Tamandua tetradactyla: one gene and its partners. The protein of the gene in region 2 interacts with the protein of the main gene of each other region in a pairwise test. Links are inferred from orthologs where the notes say so. Each region holds a gene or a part of one and is shown on either strand. Other genes may lie near its edges. The genes, in order: PLLP, membrane-spanning 4-domains subfamily A member 12-like and MALL.

The links.
Region 1: the proteins of membrane-spanning 4-domains subfamily A member 12-like (region 2) and PLLP interact in binary tests that used the Homo sapiens proteins (3 or more experiments, as listed by UniProt). The two-hybrid records come from large-scale screens. The link is inferred for Tamandua tetradactyla from reciprocal best matches to the Homo sapiens genes MS4A12 and PLLP.
Region 3: the proteins of membrane-spanning 4-domains subfamily A member 12-like (region 2) and MALL interact in binary tests that used the Homo sapiens proteins (3 or more experiments, as listed by UniProt). The two-hybrid records come from large-scale screens. The link is inferred for Tamandua tetradactyla from reciprocal best matches to the Homo sapiens genes MS4A12 and MALL.

The regions. Positions count from the first base shown.
Region 1 is NC_135342.1:50,961,694-50,969,491, forward strand, and holds the start of PLLP (plasmolipin), read right to left. Parts: upstream 3,012-7,798; 5' UTR 2,895-3,011; coding exon 2,760-2,894; intron 1-2,759. UniProt on the Homo sapiens protein: Main component of the myelin sheath that plays an important role in myelin membrane biogenesis and myelination. Plays an essential function in apical endocytosis. Regulates epithelial development through the regulation of apical endocytosis.
Region 2 is NC_135335.1:14,524,653-14,532,234, forward strand, and holds the start of membrane-spanning 4-domains subfamily A member 12-like, read right to left. Parts: upstream 3,031-7,582; 5' UTR 2,979-3,030; intron 1-2,978. UniProt on the Homo sapiens protein: May be involved in signal transduction as a component of a multimeric receptor complex.
Region 3 is NC_135343.1:1,888,841-1,896,905, reverse strand, and holds the start of MALL (MAL-like protein), read right to left. Parts: upstream 3,045-8,065; 5' UTR 2,904-3,044; coding exon 2,799-2,903; intron 1-2,798.

The DNA of each region.
Region 1 (7,798 bases), on a different chromosome or scaffold from region 2:
GCTCCTCCAAGCAGCCTTTTCCTGATCCCTGCAGGGGAAACACATCCTCTGGGCATCTCCTTCACTGACCAAGAGCTCCTAGAGATCTGGTGCTGGGCCTGGAGACCCCATCACCCTCCTTGACCAGGCCCTGTGCCCCCCGGAACACAGCTGAATGTGGTAATTAAGAGCATGGGCCACTAGACCCCTCGGGGCTTAAATCCCAGTTCCACCACTCCCAGGCTCTGAGATCATGGGCAAGTAATTGCCCTCTGAGCCTCAGTTTCCTCACCTGTAAAGTGGGGGAATTATAAGAGGACATAAAACTTGGCAAAGGGACTGGAACCTAGCATGTACCTGATTTTGGGGAGATGTTGTCACTGTTAGGTCTTCCCAGAAGACATGGTACCTATTGAGTGAACAATACCCCCCCAAACTCAGATTCAGTGGAATTGTCCATTGTCAGAGAAACAGCTCAGGAAGTAGCTTCTCTAAGAAGCAGGTTGGTGAAGCATCGATGCCGGTCTTCAGAACTCTGATGAGAGTCCCAAACGCCCTAGGGGTGTCTTATGCGGCTTAATAACTCCACCTTATGTTCTTTCTGGAACCAGATGGATTTATCATTTGAACTAGTGATAAATCGGTGGACAGTGCCACACATCTTCTTTTACAGTGCTGGGAGTGGGCAAAGGAAACCTATACACAAATGAATCCTAGTGGGATGTCAAGCTCCAGTGAGCACATGTGGTAAGTCATACATTCTATTTAGACCTATATGAAATGAGATCCAGATGCTCAGAGCTGGGCTGCTGAACCCCCAGGAGACCCCCAAATCAGGAATTCAAGCCTCCTCCTGAGGCTACCAAGGTCCCTGCAGCCACAGCCTCTGTAGGACACTCTCAGGGCTCTAGTGCAAATGAGCCATGTGCTCAGGTCCTATGGACCAGAATCCTCAAGCCGCTTAAATGGCCAGGATCCACCCTGCCAGCCCAATCATTGTCCTCAGCCCAGCAGAAGTCCCTCCCTCCAAACCCTCCCAAAGCTCCCCGCTGCCAAGAGAACCAAGTCCTTAGTCTCATGGAGTTCTCAAAGCCGGCAGCTTCTGGCCACACCAAGTAACGGGTGCTTCAACTCCAGCTTCACCAATCTGATTGCAACTCCCCACCTCTAAGCCTTGGCTAACACACTGCCCTGAGCATGGAATTATCTTCCAGAGATCACAGAAAGACCTAGCTCAAAAGCCACCTCCCCCATGAAGCCTTCCCAGACTCAGAATTATCACTGTACTCCGCCGGTTTGCACCACTTCTCACAAGGCACCTGGCTGTCCCCTCTTGTGGGGCTCCCTGAAGACAGCGTGCCCCAACACTGTTTCCTGCTGTGCCCTCTGACAATCAGCCCAGAGCCTGGCACACAAGCAGTGGCCCAAAATTTAAATTAGTCCAGGAAATGGGTCTCTTCCCCCTCAGGGCAGAGGAAAAAAAAATCAGGCAGGGAGAGGAGTTTAAAAATGTAGATTTCTGGGCGGCACTTCTTGAGAGTCAAATGACAATTCACATTCTTTCCAGGGGTGGGGCCAAAGAATCTGCATTTTAAACAAACCCTCCGGAAATCTCAGCTGCTGGGGTGGGGGCAGGGACCCCACAACCTGCGATTGGAGCACCGCTGGAATAGAAATAACATGGGGGTGGGGGTGGGTAGTCGGGAGTTCCTCACCCAGGAGAAAGGGGGAGCTTTCATTCCAGCCGAACCTCGACACCAAGTGTAGCTACCTTGCTCTCCTGCCGGCCTTGAATAAGGACCTAGCAGCAGGGGGACGGCAAGAAATGTCCCTCTAGCTGGATTTAAAGGAAAATGGATCCTGGTCCACCTCCAATGCCACCCTACGCCTCCGTAAACGGACCAACACCTCAACTGGTGGAGAAGCCTCCCACGGGGGGCAGCCACCCAGCTTCGAGACTCCCGTTAAAAGTGGTTTGTGGGTAGAAAACGAACACCCCCAGGCCTGAAACTCGTGTACCGGGGTAGGGAATGGAGTGGGCATTCCAGTCTCTCCACCTCTGCGGGGGTCTAGGGAGATGTCTTGTCTCTGGTTTCCCAGAAATGCTGGTGCTCAGGGCGCGGTATCTCGGCGCCACCGGGGCCTGCTAAACCGGCTGGAACCCGGCAAGTCACCCAGAGCAAGCCAGAGGGACCCGGCGCCCTCGCGGACGCCGAGGAAGCCGCACCTAAGTGTATGTGCTGGGAGAACGGATATGTCCTCCCAGTTACGCAGAAGTGTGTTCTGGGGTGCAGCCACACGGAGCCGCCGGGGAGCTTGGTAGAAGATCAAGAGAAAGCGGACATTTCCTCGGACGGCGTCCCCTGCAGGACTAGGGAGCTGGAAGGCCGGCCTCGTCCTGGCAGAGTGTGTGTGTGTGGCGCACATTGATTGTGGCTTCTGTGAGCGTGTGGCCGCGTTGGGCGTTGAGGGGAATGATGGGGAGCTGCAGAGTGAGCACTGTGTCCATTAGTGCATGGTGCCTGTACTCCCTGGGATTGCAAGGGGGGCGACTCGTGGTGAGAAGGTTCCAGGGGGTTCTCGGGGGCTTCGGTCCTGGAGGCACCCCCGGGGTAGGCGTCGGTACGCGTGTTGGCCCAGCCAGGCGGGGTGCGGGCTGCGAGAAGGGTGCGCAGCCCAAGCCGCCCCCCTACCCCATCCGTCCATGAGGCCCTAACCCCTCCCAGACCGGACCGGACCGGACCGGACCTCCCGCAACTCAGCCCGGCGCGCGCCCTCACCATCTGCAGCAGCATGAGCGCCCCGAGGCTGGAGCGTACGAAGCCCAGGTCCGGGCGCAGCGCGGAGGAGGTGACGCCGGCGCCCTGCGCGGGGCTGCTGGTCCGCGTGCTCACTTTAGACGGGAACTCGGCCATGGCGGCTCCGCTCGCCTCCAGAGGTTTGTGCGGCCGTCGCCGTTGCCGTCGCCGCCGCCGCTCCCGCAGTGGGTACGGGCTCCCGCGCCGCTCCTCCCCTGGGGGCCCAGCTGCCGTTCCGGGCGCAGAGCTCGGCGTCGGGGCGGGGAGCCGGGAGCCGCCAGGTGCGGCCGGAATCCCCGCCCCGCCCTCGCGGCGAGACCCGCCCCTTTAACCCTTTGCTCGCCGCCGGCCCGCCGCGACCCTTTCGTACGCCGCGGGGTCCACTTCACAGAGGGGGAAACTGAGGCCGCGGGCAGCGAGGTGGCTCCCCCATGGCCAGCCTAGGCGGCCGCGCGTGTTTCTCCCGCAGAATCTTCCCCGCACTCGCCGCGCCTGGTCTCTCCTCCGCGCGCCGCCTGCCCGCAGCGTGGGTGCCGTGGGATCAACAGGTAGCCGCGAGCAGAACCCACCTGCCCTGGCTCTCCCGGAGCTGCGCGCCCTCGCGCGAGCCTCTGCGCCTCCCTGGAACTCTTTCAGTAAAGTGGGATCAGCATCGCTGCCGAGCTCCTGCTACCGAGTCGCCGCGAGACCTAGCGCGCGGGAAGGGGAGGGATGCGTGTAAACTGTGGGTGCAACGGTGGAGGGGCCGGGCCTTTTATGGCTCAACTGATGTGATTTTCACTTATGTATGTGCAATGCAGTAACTCAGAAGTTCGCTGAACTTCTTACCTGAAAATAGATCTGGAGGAACCTCATTTCACAGAGCTGTTATTAGGAATAAATGAGATATTTCATGGGGATCCCCAGCATAGGTCCTGGCATGCCTTGAACGGGGGCGGGGGAGTGGGGAGCTCAAAGGTGACGGAGTTTCATTGCTCTACCCGAACCCTAAAACTCGTATGCACACACAGAAACACACCTTAGACCATCACTCGTAGAGGCTTGCATAGATAACTCATTAACTCATTCGTCAACCATTGTTTGCTGGACATCTAAGAAGTGCCAAATTCTATCTAAAACCTTGGTGATAGAGAAGCTAACAAGTCAGACAAGTCTTTCTTGGATCCCACTTTCTGGTGGGGGTGACAAATATAAAAACTAGGGAGAAAAAATATTCCTAATAGTGACAAATGCTGTCATGAAAATGAAACAGGTGGGTGCGATGCTGAATGAGCAGGAGGTGATTTTCAGATAGGGTGGGCAGGGAAGCCCTCTTGGAGGAGGTGACATTTATGCACTGAACTGAATCATGGATAGGGGCCAGTCTTGGGAAGAAGACCTGGGAGAAGAACTTATTTAGCAAGTCCAACAGCCATGAGGTTGGACCACGCTAGAAAGTTTGAGGAACTAAAATCTTGGCCTTGGTGTGACATTGAGCTCTAGCAGGGACCAGATCACAAAGCACTGCTTAGATTATTGTCTTAGTTTCCTGTGACTACGGTAATAAATAACTACAAATTTGGTGGCTTAAAACACGAAAGTTATTTTCTCACATTTCTAGAAGCCAGCAGTTTCACAGAGCTGACAGCAAGTTGCTGGCAGAGCCACACTCTTTCCACAGCTCTAAGGAAGAATGTCTCTGCCTCCGTGGTCACACTGACTCCTTTTCTGCGTATGTCAAATCTTCCTCTACCTCGTTCTCAAGGGGACACTTGTGACTGCCCTGAGGCCCACCCACATCATTCAGGATAATCTCCCATCTCAAGACGCTTGGTTTAATCACAACTGCAAAGACCCTTTTGCCCTGTAAGGTAAAATTTCTTATCCCAGGTCCTAATTCCTGCCCCGTGGACATCACTGTATTTGGAAATTGGATCTTTGAAGATGTTATTCGTTAAAATAATGACAAACTGGATTAGGGTGGACCCTAATCCAACATAATTGGTGTCCTTAAATGAAGAGGCTGTTGGACACAGACAGAAGACGGCCATGTGATAGAGGCAGAGATTGTGTTATGGCCACAAGTCAAAGAACTCCACGGGCTGTTGGCAAGCCACCGTCAGAACTTCAGAGAAAATGTGGCCCTGCCCACACCTTGATTCAGACTCCTAGCCTCCGGAACTGAGACAATTAATTGTTGTTGCTTTCAGCCCCAGTTTTTTATATTTTGTTATAGCAGCCTTAGGAAACTAATACAGACCTGATCTCTCTGAGTGGCTATCAGTCAGTCACTGTGATGGAGGGCATTAGCATTTTATTGTGATGGAGTGCATTAGCATTTTATTCTGAAATCTGGAGGGCTGTAATCAGGGGAGAGGCAGGGACTGATGGCCACGTGGAAAATTTCACTGGTTGGTTGATGCTGACTTAACTTTTGCCCAAGGGGTCAACTGGATATTCCACCTCTTACTCCCACCATGCACCTGGACACACTTCCCTCCTCCCCCCACCATAGGTTCTCTGGAAACTAGTAGTGTAATTTGGTAGCTGCAAAATGTCATGCAGAGACCAGCCTTTCTGAGGACCGGTTGAGTCCAAATGCTGAGAAAAGCTTGGGTGGGCTCTTAATTCTATGATGACACAGAAAACAATAAGATGATTGTTTCAGAGGCAGATTCTGAAACAGTAGTGTGTTTTTGTTTTCTCATTTTTGTTCTTGTTTTGATTTTTTTTTTTTTTTGGTTAATCCCACTTTCATTCCTTTCAAATGGCAGCAAGCAAAACTGAATCACTGCACTGTCTTTTTAGTTCAACATTTTTTTTGCCCAACCAATCTTACCGGCCCCCAGACAGAAAAAGTGGGTAGGAATCTGTCCCCAGGCTGGGACCTGCCGCCCACCTGGGTCTCCACTGGTTCAAGGAGAGCCCCAGGTTCTTGGGGAGAAGGGTGTTGAGAGGGAGGAGGAGACAGGCAGTCCGCTACCAGGGTTGGATCCCCTGCTGAGGTCTGAGCAGACCACCCTGACACAGATTGCCTGTCGCACCACGGGTGGGCATGATCCAGAAGGGCAGGAATCTGAGGCTGAACAAATGTCTAGTGAGCACCTTGAGACAGAACCCGGCACCAGGCAGGGGCCCCACCCTCAACAAGTAGATAGTCTGCTGGGAGAGACAGGCCTTCTAGATAAACAAATCCACAGACAAGTAGATCGTTCCCAACTGTGATAATGCTACCATAGCAGGGTGCCATGGGAGACAATACTTCTGAGGTCTGAAGGATATGTTTTCCATAGCAGGATCAGAGAAGGTCAAGACATTTAAGCAGGGACCCCAAGGATAAGTAGGCACCACGCAAGAGAAGAGCATTTCAGACGTGTGCAAAGACCCTGGGGGCAGGAAAGACTTTGAGGTTGTTGAGGAAGAACAGAGGCTGTGAGCTGTGGAAATGGGGTAAAGATGAAGTTCTGGAGGCAGCCAGAGGCTAGGTCACCTGTGTCTTACCCTCTTGGTACCAAAGTGGATTTATTCTAAAAAAAAAAACAAAAAACAAAAAAACAGACATTTGGAAGGTAGTTACACCACTTCATTTATAATTTTAAAAAATCCACGAGGATTGAAATCACTAGGATTCAATATAGGAATGATCAGACCCCAAGAAAAGGTACAGCCCTCAGCCAGCACCAAGAGGGAGGGATTATTCAGCAGGGGACAGGGATCTAGAAAGCTTATTCTATCCTTCATCCAACAGCCTTCAGAAGCCAACAGTCTGAGGTTTCTGATTATAATCAGCAGATATCTATTGAGCACTTTTCCATCTAGCCCTATGCTCCCCGCTATGGGGTTGGTTAATTTGGTTAATCTCTTTATTTTGAATCATATCATTAATTCATTAATCTATTTCATTGCATATCACACATACATCCAAAAACCTACCACCCATCCCCCTCCAATTAATTTCTGCTAAGAGTTAGGAGTATCCTTCCCTATCTTTCCCTTTCTAAATATAATATATTATCATTATTCTCTTGAATTATATATATATAGAAGTGGGATTGTTGGGTCATGCAGTAATTCTATACTTAACTTTTTTTCTGAGAAATTGCCAAATTATCTTCCAGCTGCATCATTTTACACTCTTCACCAGCAGTGAGTGAGCATTTCCATTTCTCCACATCCTCTCCAACAATTGTAATTTTTATGTTTTTTAAAATAACAGCCATTCCAATGGGTATGAAATGATATCTCATTGCGGTTTTGATTTGCACTTCCCTGATTGCTAATAATGAGCATCCTTTCATGTGCTTCCTGGCCATTTGTATGTCTTTTTTGGAGACATGTCTATTTAAGCCTTTTATCCATTTTTAAGTTGGGTTGTCTTCTGAATGACTGAGATATAAGAATTCTTTATATATTCTGGACACAAGACCTTTATCAGGTATATACTTTGCTAATATTCTCTCCAATATGTGGCATGTCTTTCATTATAACAGTGTCTTCTGAAGAGCAAAAGTTTTCGATTTGATAAAATCCTTTTTATCGACTTTTTCTTTTATAGGCCATGCTTTGTGTGTTCTAAGAAATCTTATCCTATTCCAAGGTTACAAAGATTTCCTGCTAGGTTTTCTTCTACAAAGTTTTGTAGTTTCACTTTTATGTTTCGGTCTATTAGTTAGGGTTCTCTAGAGAAACAGGATCAGCAGGAGATATCTGTAAATATAAAATTCATAAAAGTGTCTCATGCAACCATGGGGATGTAAGAGTGCAACATATGTACGGCAGCTCTAATGAAGGTCCTCAATGAACTCTCAGGAGAGACTGGCTGGCTGAAGCAGGAAGAGTGATTGTCTCTTATGAATCCTCCTTAAAAGCCTTCTGGTGATTAGATTAAGTGTCACTCATTGCAGAAGACACTGCCCTTAACTGATTGCAAATGCAATCAGCTGTGGATGCTGCCAGTGTGGTCATGATTTAATTCCATGAAATGTCCTCACAGCAACAGATAGGCCAGCACTTGCCTGACCAGACAACCAGGCACCACCACC
Region 2 (7,582 bases):
TTATGATAGAGAATTCTGAAATTTCAGGGTTGGAGAGTCTTTCCAGTCATCCTGTCTGATTCCTCTTAGTTTACCAGTTAGAAACTGAAGCTCAGACAGGTTAAATGATTCGCTCAAGGTTACATAGAATATGTGTAGTGGAGCCAGGAAGAGAAAATTGGGCTCTTTGACTGTTGGTCCAGAGTTCCCCTACTAAAACCAAACTACTTCATTGTGGATGCTTGCAGAGGTGGTTTTCCAGGCTAGCTTTGGAGATGGGGAATTGACTATGCACCTACAACAACCCAAAGACAAAACTACTGCCTTCTGCTGCTGTGCCGAGGACATTGTAAACCAGACTGACTTTTTAGTGATTCAAAAACTAAGCCAGCAAGGCCTCTTCTCAGTGAGCCTCGGGTAGGCTGCCCAGAGAGCTAACATTTACTAAACACTTACTCTGTGCCCAGCAGAGGCTGTGCATTGTCATGGGTGGGAACACGGATTCTGGGTTGGAATCCTGGCTCTGACACCAGCTATGCTTTGGAAAATTTGTTAACCTCTCTTTGCCTTAGTTTCTTGTGTGTAAAATGTGGATAATGAGTTCTTTCCTTACACAGTTGCTTTGAGTACTTAAGAATCATTCCATGCAAATGTCTTAGAATTGTACCTTTTACATAATAACGCTATAAGTGTATGTGAAACATTATCTCTCTTAGGCTTTGCAAAACCCATGAGGTAGGTTCTATTATTATTCCCATTTCATAGATGAGAAAACTGAATCTAGAACCTGCATTCATAAGCACTGCTCTAAGCTACCCAAATGCTAGCAACCACTGAGAAAAGGTTGAAAACTCAACAGGAAGGGGACTCAGAAACCACTGATTATCAAGGGATTACCTTTTCAAAATGGAAAAAAAAAATTAAGGCACAAAAGGTTATTTTAAACAAAGAAATTTAAACAGTTCCATAGCTGTGATTCTTGAAGAACATGAGGTTGCAGCTCAAGGATCTGGTTTCCTTGGTCATTTATGCTCAAGCCTTGTTTTCTAATCCCCAGTCAGCTACTTCACTAACTCTGGGGCCTTTAGTAAATTACTTAACCTCCCTAAATCCTTGCTGGTCCCCATGTCTCAACTAGAATGAGACTAATGATGTCTCCCTTCAAAGACAGGTAGTGTGGAGATCAAATGATCGTAGTTCCCATGAAACCTTTGGAACAGTGTCTGGCGTATGGCAAGGGCTCAATAAAAGATAGCTGTCACTTTATTATTAGAGCCCAAAGCCTCCTTTCCCAATTTAAGCTGTGGATGTGGTCATATGGTAAGCTTATAGCAAGGATTGAATTTTAAAAGGTCAAGGCAAAGAGTGAGTAGATAAGAGGTGAGGGTTTGGGGTACAGTAATTAACCAGAACAAAAATTTCCTGGAGTTTTTTTTTTTTTAAAGTATACAGTTAAACCCCATGTTTCTGCATATATCTGATCTCATTATCCCTTCTTTTACTGTTGATCTTGGGAATTTTTTTTTTTTTGTCCCAAATTTGATAAGAGAAACCTAAGTCTTCACTGATTTATCGACAGTTTCTGATTTCGTATCTACTCTTTAGTTTCTGGGCTAAAGTATTTGAGCTTCATATAGACTCTTCATTATTAATATCTCTATAGAGACAGTGGCTGGTCCCAGAATGAGTATTTACTGGGTTATGTTCTGATTTTTTTTTTTGCATGGGCAGGCACCAGGAAGTGAACCTGGGTCTCCAGCATGGCAGGCGAGAACTCTGCCACTGAGCCACTGTGGCCTGCCCCTGATTTTTTTTTTTTTAAAAGGAATAAAGAGTCCAGCCAATTTCAATCCTTCTAATTTATACTAAAAACGACTTATTCTATAAACAGTCTTGCTGGTTGCACAGTTGGTAAAAAGGGAGGGAAAAATACTGGGGGAAATAACTAAGTGAAATGAAGATATTCCTGGAAATGATAACAAGAAAAAAGAACCCAGTGAATAGACTCTCTTTGTAGACTCTTTCCATTGACCTAGCACAATTTTTCTCTTGGGTATTGCAAAATAATTATCAGTAGTTATCTTTCTTTCTAAAAGCTAGAGCAACTGCAATCATTTTTAAGTACAAGGAACACATTGCAAAGTAAAAGGTTTGATGAGATCAAAAGGATACGGCTATGGTAATAAGACAGGAGCTCATAATTTGCCTTTTGTTTAGTTGATTTCAAATACAAAAGGGAATCATTTACATTTACAAATGTAATCATTTACATTTGCTAGCTTCTTTCCATCTTACTTCCACATTAATCTGATTTTTAATATCATTGGGTGTTGCTGACCATGTTTCATGACCGTGGTGAAACAAAATGGTGGGTCATTTCGACAGTATTACTCATAGGTAGAGATGTTTTAATGGGCTTACTCAGTGCATTGACAGGTATGCAGGTATATAGCTTTCCACAAATAAACATGCTGACCTGGTGATAATGTGTGATTTTCACCACCTTTGCTTCTTATCAGAAAGAGGCACCTTGATTAAAATTTATTACAAAACCAACTCCTTATAGGGCTTTCTGTGAAAGTCGTGTGGTAGCTACATTATCATCAAATGCTTACAGCAGAACATTGCCTCCTCCTTGTTGATTGATGTTCATGGAAATGACAAACATCTGAACCTACCATGTTATCTCTCTTAGCATTTAGCTATTGATATTTTTTCTTGCAGTACCTTTTGCCTGTTAACGGTGCACTTCCTCTTTCCTTTCTCTCCTGTTATTTTTATTTTATTGCTCTCCTGTTTCAATTCTCTCCTCTTTCCTTTCTTCTTGGTTTTGCTTTCCCTCACTTATCTACTGATCTCAACGTATAGTCAAGAATTGGCTTCACTCTCCAGATAAGAGAACAGAATGTAGCAGAGAACCTGCACAGATAGAGCAGCCCCACTATTTATGCACATTCATTTGGGTGAAGAGATAGGTAGAGATGTTTTAATGGACTTACTCTGTTCCTTTGGCACCTCTGCGTCCCCTCTGCCTCTGCTTCAAGCTCTGTGTTGGTTTCAGATTTTATAAGTACATTTTACTTCCTCATTTCAAGCCAACCTGTCAACTGTTTTATATAGTCCAAAGTTCTTTTATCATGGGCTATCTTCCACCACAAATGGATATATAATCCTGTTTATAAATTTTAGAATACACTGTGCTTCCTCTCCTTTGTACTGGGCAGATTTATGTCATCCAAGCAGCAGAAAAGAAGGTTGAAGAGACCAGTGTTCTTGAAGCAGAGAGGGCGCTTCTTTCTATGAGTGGCTTTCTAGACTCTCCATAGATGAGGAATTCTTTCTTAAACTTAATCTTTCTTCATCTAAAGTGTTCTTGCTCCTTCCTGGTCTCATATCCATGGGGTTGGTTGGTGGCTTTAATGATGCGATGCTTCCATGTGGTATTTTTAAATTCTTATTTCTGTAACCCTTCCAGGAGGCAGGAGATAAGACATAATTTCATAATTTTTTTTTATGCACTAGCTTCAGAATGTCTTCCTTTTTTTTAAGGAAGAGAAAATGCTCTTTGACCAGTACAGAATGCATTTTATTCAGAGTTCTTTAAACAAGGCTAGTAAGTGCTGAAGATTTACCAAGGACTAAAGAAGGCTCCATAAGTACTGCTTTTACATATATTGCCATACCTGCTTTTCATAGCATAATTGGGAAATTAGGCTGTTCTCTGACTATGGTAATTTCTGTAGATAAATAAACTTTAATCCCTTAAGCATGCAAACATTTTCCTTTCAATATTTTTGGATGGAAATCTGTGAACAGATTCCTTATCTTAATAAACAAGTACAATCATGTTATAATCCAAATTTCTTTTGCCTACTGGTTTCTTGCTCAGATCCCTTTGATTCTGAGAAGGAAATTGAAATGCTGCTGCATGAATTACAGATTTGTATCTTATTGGTATTGTGCTTGAATCAAAGGCCATCAAAGGCCAACATTTTTTTTTTAAGTTAATTCCCTATTACCAATAAGGTAATACTCTTGCTGTCTTCCTATGACTTTTTACTAGGATTTCAAATATTAAGTAGTTTCCACTAACTATATGAATTTATTGGCCAAATCAGAGTACCCCTCTCTTCCATTTCTCTAAAATGGGTACAGAGTTACACGCAATTTTGCATTCTAAGTAGCTGTCTTATTTTGCCTGATGGCTGTGGCATGTATCTTATTTGGCTGTGACCTACATCACAGACTGGTTGACTTACACAACAGGAATTTGTTGTCTCTGTTTTGGAGGCGAGGGGTCCAAACTCAAGGTATTGGCAGGGCATGCTTTCTCCCAAGTTTGTAGCATTCTGATGTGGCTCAGTCCCTGCCTCTGTCACAAGTGATCTGTCTTCTGGCTTCTCCTGCTCAGTCGTCTGTGACTCTGTCTAGATTTCCTTTCCTTAGAAGGACTTCAGCCATTGTTCTAGTTTGCTAGCTGCTGGAATACAATATACCAGGAACGGAATGGCTTTTTATAAGGGAAATTAAATAAGTTGCTAGTTTACAGTTCTAAGGCCAAGAAAATGTCCCAATTAAAACAAATCTATAGAAATGTCCAATCTAAGGCATCCAGGGCAAGACACCTTGGTTCAACAAGGCTGATGAAGTTCAGAGTTTCTCTCTCAAGTGGAAGGGCACATGGCAAACCTGTCAGGGTGTCTCTCTCATCTGGAAAGGCATGTGGTGAACACAGCATCATCTGCTAGCTTTCGCTCCTGGCTTCCTGTTTCATGAAGCTACCTGGGAGGTATTTTCTTTCTTCATTTCCAAAGGTTGCTGGCTGGTAGACTCTCTGCTTCTTGTGGCTATGTCATTCTGCTCTGCTCTCTCTGAATCTCTCACTTTCTCCAAAATGTTTCCTCTTTTATAGGATTCCAATAAACTAATCAAGACCCACCCAAATGGGTGGAGATACGTCTCTACCCAATCCAGTTTAACAACCATTCTTGACTGAGTTACATCTCCAGGGAGATGATCTAATTACAGATTCAACCATATAGTATTTAATAGGGATTATTCTACCTCTATGAAATGGGATTTTGATTAAAACATGGCTTTTCTAGGGGACATACATCCTTTCAAACTAGCACAACCATGTTGTATTAAGGCCTGTCTCTGACTCAGCTTGGCTGCACCTTAAAAGGACCTTCAGAGATCCTATTTACCAATGGGTTCACACCCATAGGACACAGGTTGGGATTTGAACATGTGTTAGTGAAGGATGTGATTCAATGTGACCATACTCACTGTCAGAAATAAATGGCCATCTCACTGCATTTATACTGTCAGCGAATTATCACTTCATAAGTATGATAATCAGTGCATTCTTGATTTCTCAAAACCTGCATAATCAGGAGAGTGGTAAAGCCCTTGTGAGAAGATGCCATGCAAATGCAGAGTGCTGTGATTTTTTTTTTTTGGCATGGGCAGGCACCAGGAATCGACCCTGGGTCTCCAGCATGGCAGGTGAGAATTCTGCTACTAAGCTACTATCATACCACCCGAGTGCTGTGTTTTTTGTATAGCATCCAAACGATGCTGGCTTGCTGCAAAGGTGGCCTTTGTGCTGCAAAATGGTTCACTGCTTCCTGTTTTCTCCTTTTTGTTACTGTATGAAGATACCTTGCCTCGTATATTAACAAATAAATTGCTCCATTTATTAAAATGTCTACGTCTCTATTCTTCTAGGACAGTCATACATACCAGTGAGTGAACTTAGGTGGGAACAATAATTTGGAACAAACATGATATGCTCCTATAGGCAGTAAAATTTTAGGGTGTGTAGGTGAGTGTTTGCTCATGAACAATCTATTGCAGCCATTGTGTCCTGTTATTGCAACTTAAATACCATGAAAACACTTCTCTGGTTAGCTTTCCTGATTAAATCCTTGTTTTAGAAGATTTCAAACCTGGAGAAATTGGCCTAATTGTGGAGTTGGATTCCTAAGAGATCAGCCAGCAGGCCGAAGTTCAGTCCAGATTCAGAGAGTTATGACCCATGGGTTCCTTTCTGTGGGTTTGGAGCCGGTAAAGGCTGGTTCTGGGGGTGAGGTCTATAAACAAGAGCACTGACCCCAAGACATGGTCGTCCAGCTTAGTGCTTCTCAAACTATCTGTGCAGAAGAATTATATTAAAAAAAAATTCCGATGCATATGGACCAATGCTTTTGGAAAATATGGTAAATGTGACAGTAGAAAAAATAAAAGCCATAGCAATTCAAGTGCAACTTTTTATTAGACTCAGCAGGCAAAAAATTATGCTGTAATAAATATAACCTGAACAAACATGACATGGGAAAATAGAAAAGAATTACAAAACTGAAAACATCATTTGATAGGCAATTAATAAAATCACTGTTATACTTCTAACTTGTCATCCATTAAAAATTGTAACTAAACAAAAGTGATGAAGGAAATAATGATTTCCCACATTGTCTTTACTGGTACTACTTAGATAATTAGGAAAAATACTCAATATTTTCCTTTAGCTGGAAAACGTTTAGTATAATCCTCAGTAGCTAGAAAAATGTTTATTATAATCATTTCACTCAAGCAGCCTTGAATTACTTTGAACCTAAAAGCCCTTTTTGAAATAGATTATTGTTGATTTAATCTCAAAAATTTATTTTCTGTTACAGTAATAAAATCCTCCCTTGCTCTGCTTGTAAGAATAAAATACCATTTAGACTAATATCATCACCTTCTTTCCTTCGAAGAACAAGATAAAAAACCTAAATGGTCAACAAAAAGAAGGGCCTACAGAATAACTGAATATGCTAACCAAACAGCTTTTCCTCCTCTATTTTTTTTCTTTTGCTTTCTTCTAGATCTTGGCCATTTCCTTCTCTGTTTAGTGTTATAAAAGCCCAAATCACCCTTCTCCCTCTGAACTGGTCTTGGGAAATTTTTCCTCTAGCTCCTTTCCTGTGCCCCTGAGTAAAACTCAGCTCACTATGACAAAGAGATTTGTTTCTCTGTTTGATCCAGGATTAGGCTGGCTTAACTATCAAAGACCATGTGTTCTGATGACACTCACACTTGAATGGCCATTTTGTATGTCACTATTTAAAGTTATTTGAAGTTTGAATGGAATCAGGGCTTCTTGTTTGTTAATTTGTCTAATCTAAATTGGATTGGTGGCAATGCTGCTTACCAGGGACAGTGTATTTCTAAACTCTTTCTATGTTTTTTTTAAAATAACATCCATAGTAGAGAAATCGATCTCACAGGTATGTTGACAGAAGAGAAAGAAGAGATTTTAAAATAATTTCTGCAAACACAGGATATTCATTTAAACATTTCTTTCCAAATAAGGCAGTAATGCTGTATTTTAAAAATATACCTTTCATCCATCAGTAGTTCAGTTCCAACTATTTATCCTGAAAAGTTATAGGATAACATTTTATTTTGGTTAAAAATGGCTTCTGGATAGAGTAATTTCCAATTTGTAGATCTTCTTTTGATGGAATATGACATACCTAAGGTAACTGGTAATATTTAAAATAATTTTTCACAGGTGTGAAATATCTAAAAATAATTATCATTATTTCCTTGCTAGTTC
Region 3 (8,065 bases), on a different chromosome or scaffold from region 2:
CAGCCGAGAACCCGCACTTGGGGTGCGGCCACTCCTCGCCTGTTACCAGAGCCCGAGGCTGCGCCGGCCAGCCAGGGGCCACGGCTCTCCACTCCACTCCCTTGTACTTTACTCTCTTGCTCCCACGTGGGGGTTCCCGCCCAGCTGGCTCTCGGGGTGCCGCTGGCACTCACCCTGCGCCAGCTCCAGGTCACTGGCCTTTGCTTCCTGTGCGGCTTCTTCCTGGCCTGACCTCCCAGCTGAGGATCCACGCTCTGCACTCCTGTCTCCAGGAAACACGTTCCTGTCTGAGGCGCCCCCACAGCCGGGGCTGTGTGGCTGGCCCCTCTGCGTGGTGTCCAGAGGCCGGAGGGCCCCTACTCAGGGCCAGTCTGCCTGTCTGTCCTCCTGCCCGGGGCAATGCCCCCTCTCCAGCTGACCTCCATGACTCGTGGTCCCGTAATTCCTGCTAAATTAGGGGGAGCCCGCCCAGACTAAGCCTGCCGAAGTCCTGCAGGGGTACATAGACGCGCGGCAGGGCTGCACAGATAGGCCCCAGTTTCACGGTGTGCTAGCTGAAGCTGTGCTGCACCCCAGAAAAGGCCAGGTGCCTTCTCCTGTGGCGGCAGACCTGTTGTGGGGGAGGGGGGCATTTTGTTTAGGTGGTTTCCATGGAGATGTGACCCACTCTATTCAAGGTAGTTCTTGATCCTTTACGAGGGGATAAAAAGGCAGGAAAGGCTGAGAGTGCTTAGAGGGAAGCCCTGGGGATGCCAGGAGGTCCCACAGGAGCTCAGAGAGGAGGCCACAGAGCCAGGACTGAAGGCAACGAAACCCAGGAGCGGAGGCCGGCAGACGCGCCATGTGCCTTCCTTTCTTCAGAGAAGGTGTCAGCCTGCTGATGCCTTAACTGGGACGTTTTCATGGACTTAGAACTGTAAATTTATAAACTAATAAATCCCTGTTGTAAAAACCAACCCATTTCTGGTATATTGCCTTCTACAGCCCTAGCAAACCAAAACACAGAGAAACTACATTTCTACATCTTCTAAGTTTTCGCCCATGAACGAGGATTGCTCATGAATTAAGAAATGAACAAAACTGTAATGAGAAAATCAAAAAGCTCACACTGAGGGCCATTCTACAAGGCAACCGGTCAGGGCTCTGCAGCAGCGTCAAGGCAAAGAGAGAGGAGGTGTCCTGGATTAACAGGACAGCACAGCACAGCGTGGACGGAATCCTGGACAGGAAACGGACACTGGCAGGAAAACCGGCAAGATTCAGATACGGCTATGGAGGAGCTATGGCGAGGATTTGATATCAGTTTGCTGATTTCTCCAGCTGCCTGTGCAAGACGTGACATCAGGGGAACTCCAGAGGAGCACCCGGGAATGCTCTGCACTATTTCTGCAACTTTGCTGTATACCTAAAGTTATTTTAAAATAAATGAATAAAACTGAACTAGTGACAATGCAAAATACTTAAAGCTCCAAGAGCCCAAATCAGCCAAGCATGTTGCTCCTCGGCATTCGGTGGGATGCTCCCATGAGCACAGCACCCTGGGGGAGGGGGGCGGAGCACGGCAGAGCCCCTGCCCGGGGCTACTCTCTGAGCTGGGCACTGGGACTCTACACCTCCCACCCCCACCTGGGGAGTCCTGTCCGAGTGTCCTCTGTCCAGGCGGGACTGCTGACAGACACCATGTGCCCACAAAGGCTGCGGCGCCCCCTGGCCCGTGTGGGTTCTGGGGGTGGGGTGGGGCGCAGCACACACGCCTACCAGGGCCCTTGCACCAGACGCCCGCGCTGTGTCCGGCCGCCGCCCTCGGGTGGGGTCTCCGCTGGAGTCACCGACAGGCGGCCCGCCCTGCCGGCTTCCCTTCACGTTGACATCACTGCGCGCCCTTTCACCAGTGGCCAGGAGGTCAGTCCCGCCGGGCTGCCTGCCAGGCACCTAAGGCGAGCCAGGCCCAGGCCAGAGGCGGGACCCAGGAGCCGGGCCAAGCTCCCAGCAGGTGGGAAAAGGTCACCCAGAAGCAGAGACTTGGGAAGGCGTTTCCTGTGCTCTCCTTCTGCCCCGTGCATCTCAGCCGGCCTCGGTCTCCCCATCGGGAAAAGGGGCACCGACAGCCGGCTCAGGAGGGGACACTGGGGGCCCGTGCGGAGCCATGCTGCAGACGGGACAGACCAGGTGGGCGGGGCCATGGTGACAGGACCTCACCTGCCCTGGGGAGCTCCTGCCCCCTCTGCGGCAGGGACTGTCACACGCCGCCTGGCGTGGGTGCGCGTTATCAGTCGCCATCCTGACCTCTGAGATGGCCCGAAGACTCCCGGGGGCCTGGACTCCTCTCCGGGCACTCATGCTCGGGGAGGGGGTCCCCGCGGGCCAGTCCAGCCCCACCAGCTTCTGGAGACCCCCAGCCTCTCAGTCCTGTCCCCCCCCACCCCCAGCGGCCCGGCAGCCCGCCCGCCCGCCCCACAGTGGGATTTGTTTTGGAAAGAGGAAATCCACCCGTCCGCGGGGGCGGTGAGCAGCCCCAAGTGGGAGCGGCTGGTTCTGGGGGACAGCGGCGGATCCAGAGCTGGAGGGACCGAAACCACCGGGTGCCGCAGGAGGCGCGACCCTGCCCCAGCCCCCTGCCCTCTGCCCGGGCCCTGACCTCCCCCCGGCCCCTGTCCTCCACTCCTGCCCCAGCCTCCTGCCCTGCCCCAGCCCCCTGCCCTCCAGCCCTGCCTTGGCCTGTGCCCGTGACCCTACCCTGTTCCCCGGCCCATTCCCCTGGCCCAGCTCCTGCCCTGGCCCCCCCGCCCGGCGCTCACCAGCTCCGGCAGGAAGAAGGCGAAGGGGACGGTGGTGAGCAGCGCGATCCCCGAGGGCACCTCGGGCCCCTTGTAGCTGCTGGCGGGCGGGTCCCGGGAGGCCATGCTCGCACCCTGCCTGCGCCTCCCCGCAGTGCGACCGCCCGCCCTCAAATAGCCTCCATCGGCCACACCCCGCGACGTCGCGGGGAGGGCAGAGGCCGCCCGGCCCAGCAGGTCCCGGGGCAGAACTGGGGCGCCCCCTCCCCCCCCCACCCCGCCCCGGGCCGGGCCCAGGGGAGGGACGCCCTGAGGGGGCGGGGCTGGAGGGCACAGGACGGGGGGGGGGGGGGGCGGGTCACCTCGGCGGCCCTCCCCCATGCCCTCACCCCACCCCACTCCCACCCCACCGCACCCCGAGTTCTGGGCGTGGAGTGGCTCCTGAATCGCCGAAGCCCCGCCCCTGCTCCCGCCCCTCCCACCCTGCATCCCCCAGACCCCAGCTGTGGCTGCCCGGAGCCGGGTCCTTCCTGCGCCCCCGCCCCAGGCCGCGCCCCCTTGGGTTGCCCTGTTCCTCCCCCCTGAGAACTGGCTGACCCCAGTTCCCCCGATGCGGGTGCTCAGGCCTTGGGACCCCTCTGCCTGCCCCGCCCAGCTTCGGCTGTCCTGGCCTCGGCTGTCCTGGCGAGGACCAAACGGGGGAGGATTGCAATTTGGCGCTGCCGGCAAGAGGCCTGGAAGCCAGTGAATTCCAGGCTCCGCCCTCCAGGTGAGCCTAGCCCCACCCCACCTGCCACCTGGCCCCGCCTGCCACCTGGCCCCACCTGCTCACAGGATTAACCAGGCCAGGCCGACGTTTCCCAGGAGTCCACCTGTTTCACTGCTTGTGAAACCTGCGCGTGAACCCTCGGTACTCGCTCTGACTTGATGTGCAACCACATAGTGTGCACATCTTAAGGTAAAGAAGGAAAGCCACCTTCTCCAGGGGGCTGCCCTCCTGCGCAGCAGAGAGCTCACACAGGACCAGGGCCCCGGCCACTGCACTCCTGCGCCCATGGGGGTGTAATAGGAAATGGAGACATTGTTAAAACGAGGCTACTAAAATTGGTATGCTTTAAATGTTTACGTCTAACCTGGTAACAACTGATTATACGACTAAGTGCAGCACAGGAGCCAGGCTGCGCACAGGGAAACTAACTGTACTGCTCAGACGCACACAGGTGGGGAGGCCCCAGTAGGGACCGGGCTTAGTGCTCTCGGACCACCTCGGCTTCAGCACTCTATCCCTGGGGCTGTGGGTGTGGCCGCACTTGGAGACAAGGTCAAAGGCCATGTGTAGGCCTTGGGGAAGGGCAGGCCCGAGGGGGGGCCCCTGGACTCCCCCGCACAGGGCCTGCAGGTCCCCCTGCCTGGAGCTGGAGATTAGAGGGTCGTCCTGACACCCACGTAAGCAGTCATTGGCACCGCTGGCTGGAGTTCCCCGTTCTTCACTTGTTAGTTGGAGAGGATTAAATGAGATCTAGGAAAGCATCTGGGACCTGCTGGCTTATGGCAGACACTTCATAAGTACTTGTTTATCTGCTTGGAATCCTGAAACCACTTCTCTTCTGGCGATCGTTCCTTTCTACAGCAAGACCTGCACCTTCTCTGGTTAGTGTTTTCATTCCAATTAAAAAAAATTGTTTTTGTTGATGTATGACACACTCGTTGGAAAAGTGCACGAAACCTACAGACTGTGAAACCACGGTCCTGATCAGAACATGGAACAGTGGCCGTCCCTCCTAACCAGGCCTCCCTCCCCCGGGGGCAGCCGCTCTGACCTCTCACCCCACAGACGGGCTCTGCCTGGGCTGAAGGATCCTGTCTGGGTTCTGTCACGTTTGGCTTCCTCCACCTGCTGCTGGTCTGTGAGGCTCCGCTATGTCGCTGTGCGACGCTGTAGCTCACTGAGTGCTCTCTGGGGCCCCAGTGAAGGAGCCCACTACACTGTATGTATCCACTTTACACTCAGGGACTTTTGGGTTCTTTCTACTTGGGGTAATTATGAATAATGCATAGTACTGCTCAGAGCATGCTACAACATGTATTTGTGTGTGTACGTATGCACTTTTGCTGCGAGTGGAAGTACGGCCACACGGCATGTGTTTTTAGCAATAATGTCAAACTATTTTCCAAAGTAGTCGAACGATTTATATTTCCACCAACAATGTATGCAAGTTATAGTTGCTTATAAACAGTATTTGCATGCAGAATCCCCTTGATGCTTGCGTGGTAGACATTTTTCCATCCTTTTACTTCTCATTTACCTATAGCACTACACTTAGAGCAGCTTGTGTGTGTGTGCGTGCATGATCTAATTTGATTTTTTTAAAAAATCCATTTGAAAATTACTGTTTTACTTGGATGTTTAAATCATTTACAATTAATAAAATTATCTATATGCTTGGATTTACATCTACCATTTTTTGTTTTCTATTTGTTTGCTCTATATTTCATTCCTCTGATCCCTCTTTCTTGCATTCTTTTGGGTTTTCTCAATATTTTTAGTGTTCCATTTAAATTCATCTATTGGGGTTTTTACTTTATCTCATATTATTTTAGAAGTTGCTCTGGGAAGTACAATCTACATAGTTAATTTTGAACAATATACTCAGAATTAATATTTTACCAAAACCTTTCCACCATTAGTCCCTTTACTTTCTTGCCTTTAAGTTTAGCTGTCACGTGTTATATCTACATACATTCAAAACCGACAGTCAGTCTTGCTTTCAGCCCTCACATGTATTTTAAAGAACTTAAGAGAAAAACATAGTCTATTATATTTACCCAAATATTTACTATTTACGTTGCTGTTCTTTGTTCCTAAAGCCCCAGGCTTCTCTCTGGGGTCATCCTCTGCTGTCTGAAGACCCCCCGCAGCGTCTCTGTGAAGCAGGTGTGCTGGTCATGCACTCTTAGTTTTCTGGTCATGCTCTCTCCGTTTTCTTTCATCTGAGAATGTCTTTGTTTCACCTTCACTCCGGAAAGATATTTTTCTGGTGTTTAGAATTCTAGGTTGATAACTTTTCTTTCTTTTTTGTAGACTATGGAATTCTGGGTTGATTTTTTTTCCTTTCAGTACGACTCCTGGCCTCTCTAGTTTCTGATGAGAAATCCACATCATTCAAATGGTTATTCTCTATATGTAATGCATTTTTCTCTGACTGCTCTCAAGGTTTTTTCTCTGTCTTTAGTTTTAACTATTTGATTATGACATAGCCGGGCATGGATTTCATTGAGCTTATCCTGTTTGGTCTTCACTGAGCTTCCTACCTTTGTATCTTTCCCAAAATTGGGGGATTTTTCAGTCATTATTTCTTATAACATTTTTTCTGTGCTACACACTTTTTCTTCCTCTGGGACTCTGACGATATGAATATTAGACCTTTGATACTGCCCCACAGGTTCCTGAGGATCTGTTAATTTTTTTCCAATATACCCCCCTCTGTTATTCAGATTGGAAACGCATACTAATCCATTTTTAAGTTCACTGACTCTTTCCTTATCATCTTTATTTAGTCTATCAACTAAATTTTACAATTTTGGTTAGTATATATTTTCATTTTGGTTCTTTTTTGTACCGTCTGTCTTTCTATTCATTGCAAAGTGTTTGTCCTTACTTCTTAGAGCATAGCTACGAGAGCTGCTTTGATGTCTCGATTCCAACACTTGTATCACCTTCAAGCTGATATCGCTTTCTAAGTGCCCTTTCTCTCAACTCCACATCTTCAACAATTTCAGGCCCTTGTATATAAAACGAAATCAAAGACCCAGAAACCTTTTTTTTCCCTTTTAAATCAGTGACCTCATGGATTTTGTTTTACAACTTATGGAAAATGGTGTGATGATACTGCTGGTAAAACAGGAGGTTGGCAGCAGACAGACCTCCTCAAACAGGCAAGTTAAAGGGAACTGCCAGCTGTTAGTACCTGTGAAACGAGAAGAATTTGGTATATCGGAGGCTCCAGAAGCGCCCTACTGCCCGGACAAGCACTTGCTACATGAAGTTTAGGCTGTAAAAACACCACTCCTGAGCTGTCTCTCATCTAGATTTTAGCACCGTTTTTTTTTTTTTTCCATTTTGCTTTTTATGGACTGAAGTATATAAAAGAACCAGGGTCCAGAGGCAGGTGACGTAGTCCTTAACCTTGCTGAAATCCTTAAGTTCTTCATTCATAAACTTCACTTAAAGGACCAAAATTTCCAGCCCTCTTTTATAAAGATTCCTGCCCACATCCCTGATGGCAAAGACTCTCACTTCCCCATGGGTGACAGAGACTCGGGCCTGGATGGGACGGGGTGCAGATGGCTGCCCGCACACCTGGTCACACAGCCCCCCAGCTGCTGCTGCACCTGAAATTCCTTACTCCCTGCATCCATTGAGTCTTTGGCTTTGTCACAGCAATGCATGGTGCACTGGGTCAAGTGGTCCTGAAAATTCTCCAATTCATGGTCACCAGGACTTGGGCGAGAGCCGGAGGCGCATGGCAGTGCTCAGTGCACTGATGCACTTGCTGCATGGATGCCTGGCTGTCCTGGCAACAGCTGCGTTGCACCAGAATATGAAGCCCTGCATCTTCCGGATATTCTCTCTCCATGCTCTTCCCCATGGAGTCCCCTGCCCCCGGCAGGTGCTCGGAGCTGCTGCAGCTCCGCCACGGCGACTCTGCGCAGCCACCTGCTGCACCGGTGCCACATGGACTCAAGTTGGTATCTCAATTGTCCTTTGTCTTTTTCCTTGAGAAATGTTGAGATTTTCTTGGCTATTCAAATATCAAGCAATCTGGGGGTTCCCATTGCGTTTTCTGAGCTATGGCTCCACTGTCAGTTCAGCTTTCAAGGCTTTGTGGTGCTTCAGGTGAGGCTTGATCCAGTAATGCAAACAAAGCTCCCAAGGCCCCATATCCTGTCAGCTTTGCCCTCTCTGCATCTGGCTTTATTGTCCACCTCATATGGTACCCCCCATGCCCACCCCCCACCAAACATGCATGCCACCAGACCGCACATCTCTCCCGATACTGAACAGTGAATGAGAGTTTTCTGGTGAGAAAATCTTCTGGAATTTGCTCCCTTGGCCCATTTGCAATCCTGTCACGGTAACCAAGGAAGAGGGTTGTGCTCACCTGCTTAAGGCAGTCAGAGCCTGTTCCCAGAGATGGGATAAAAGGTGTGCATGCGTGCGTGCGTGTGTGTGTGCGTGTGTGTGTTGGGGGGGGCTGTCCTCCAGAAGGGACCAAGAGAGACACAGA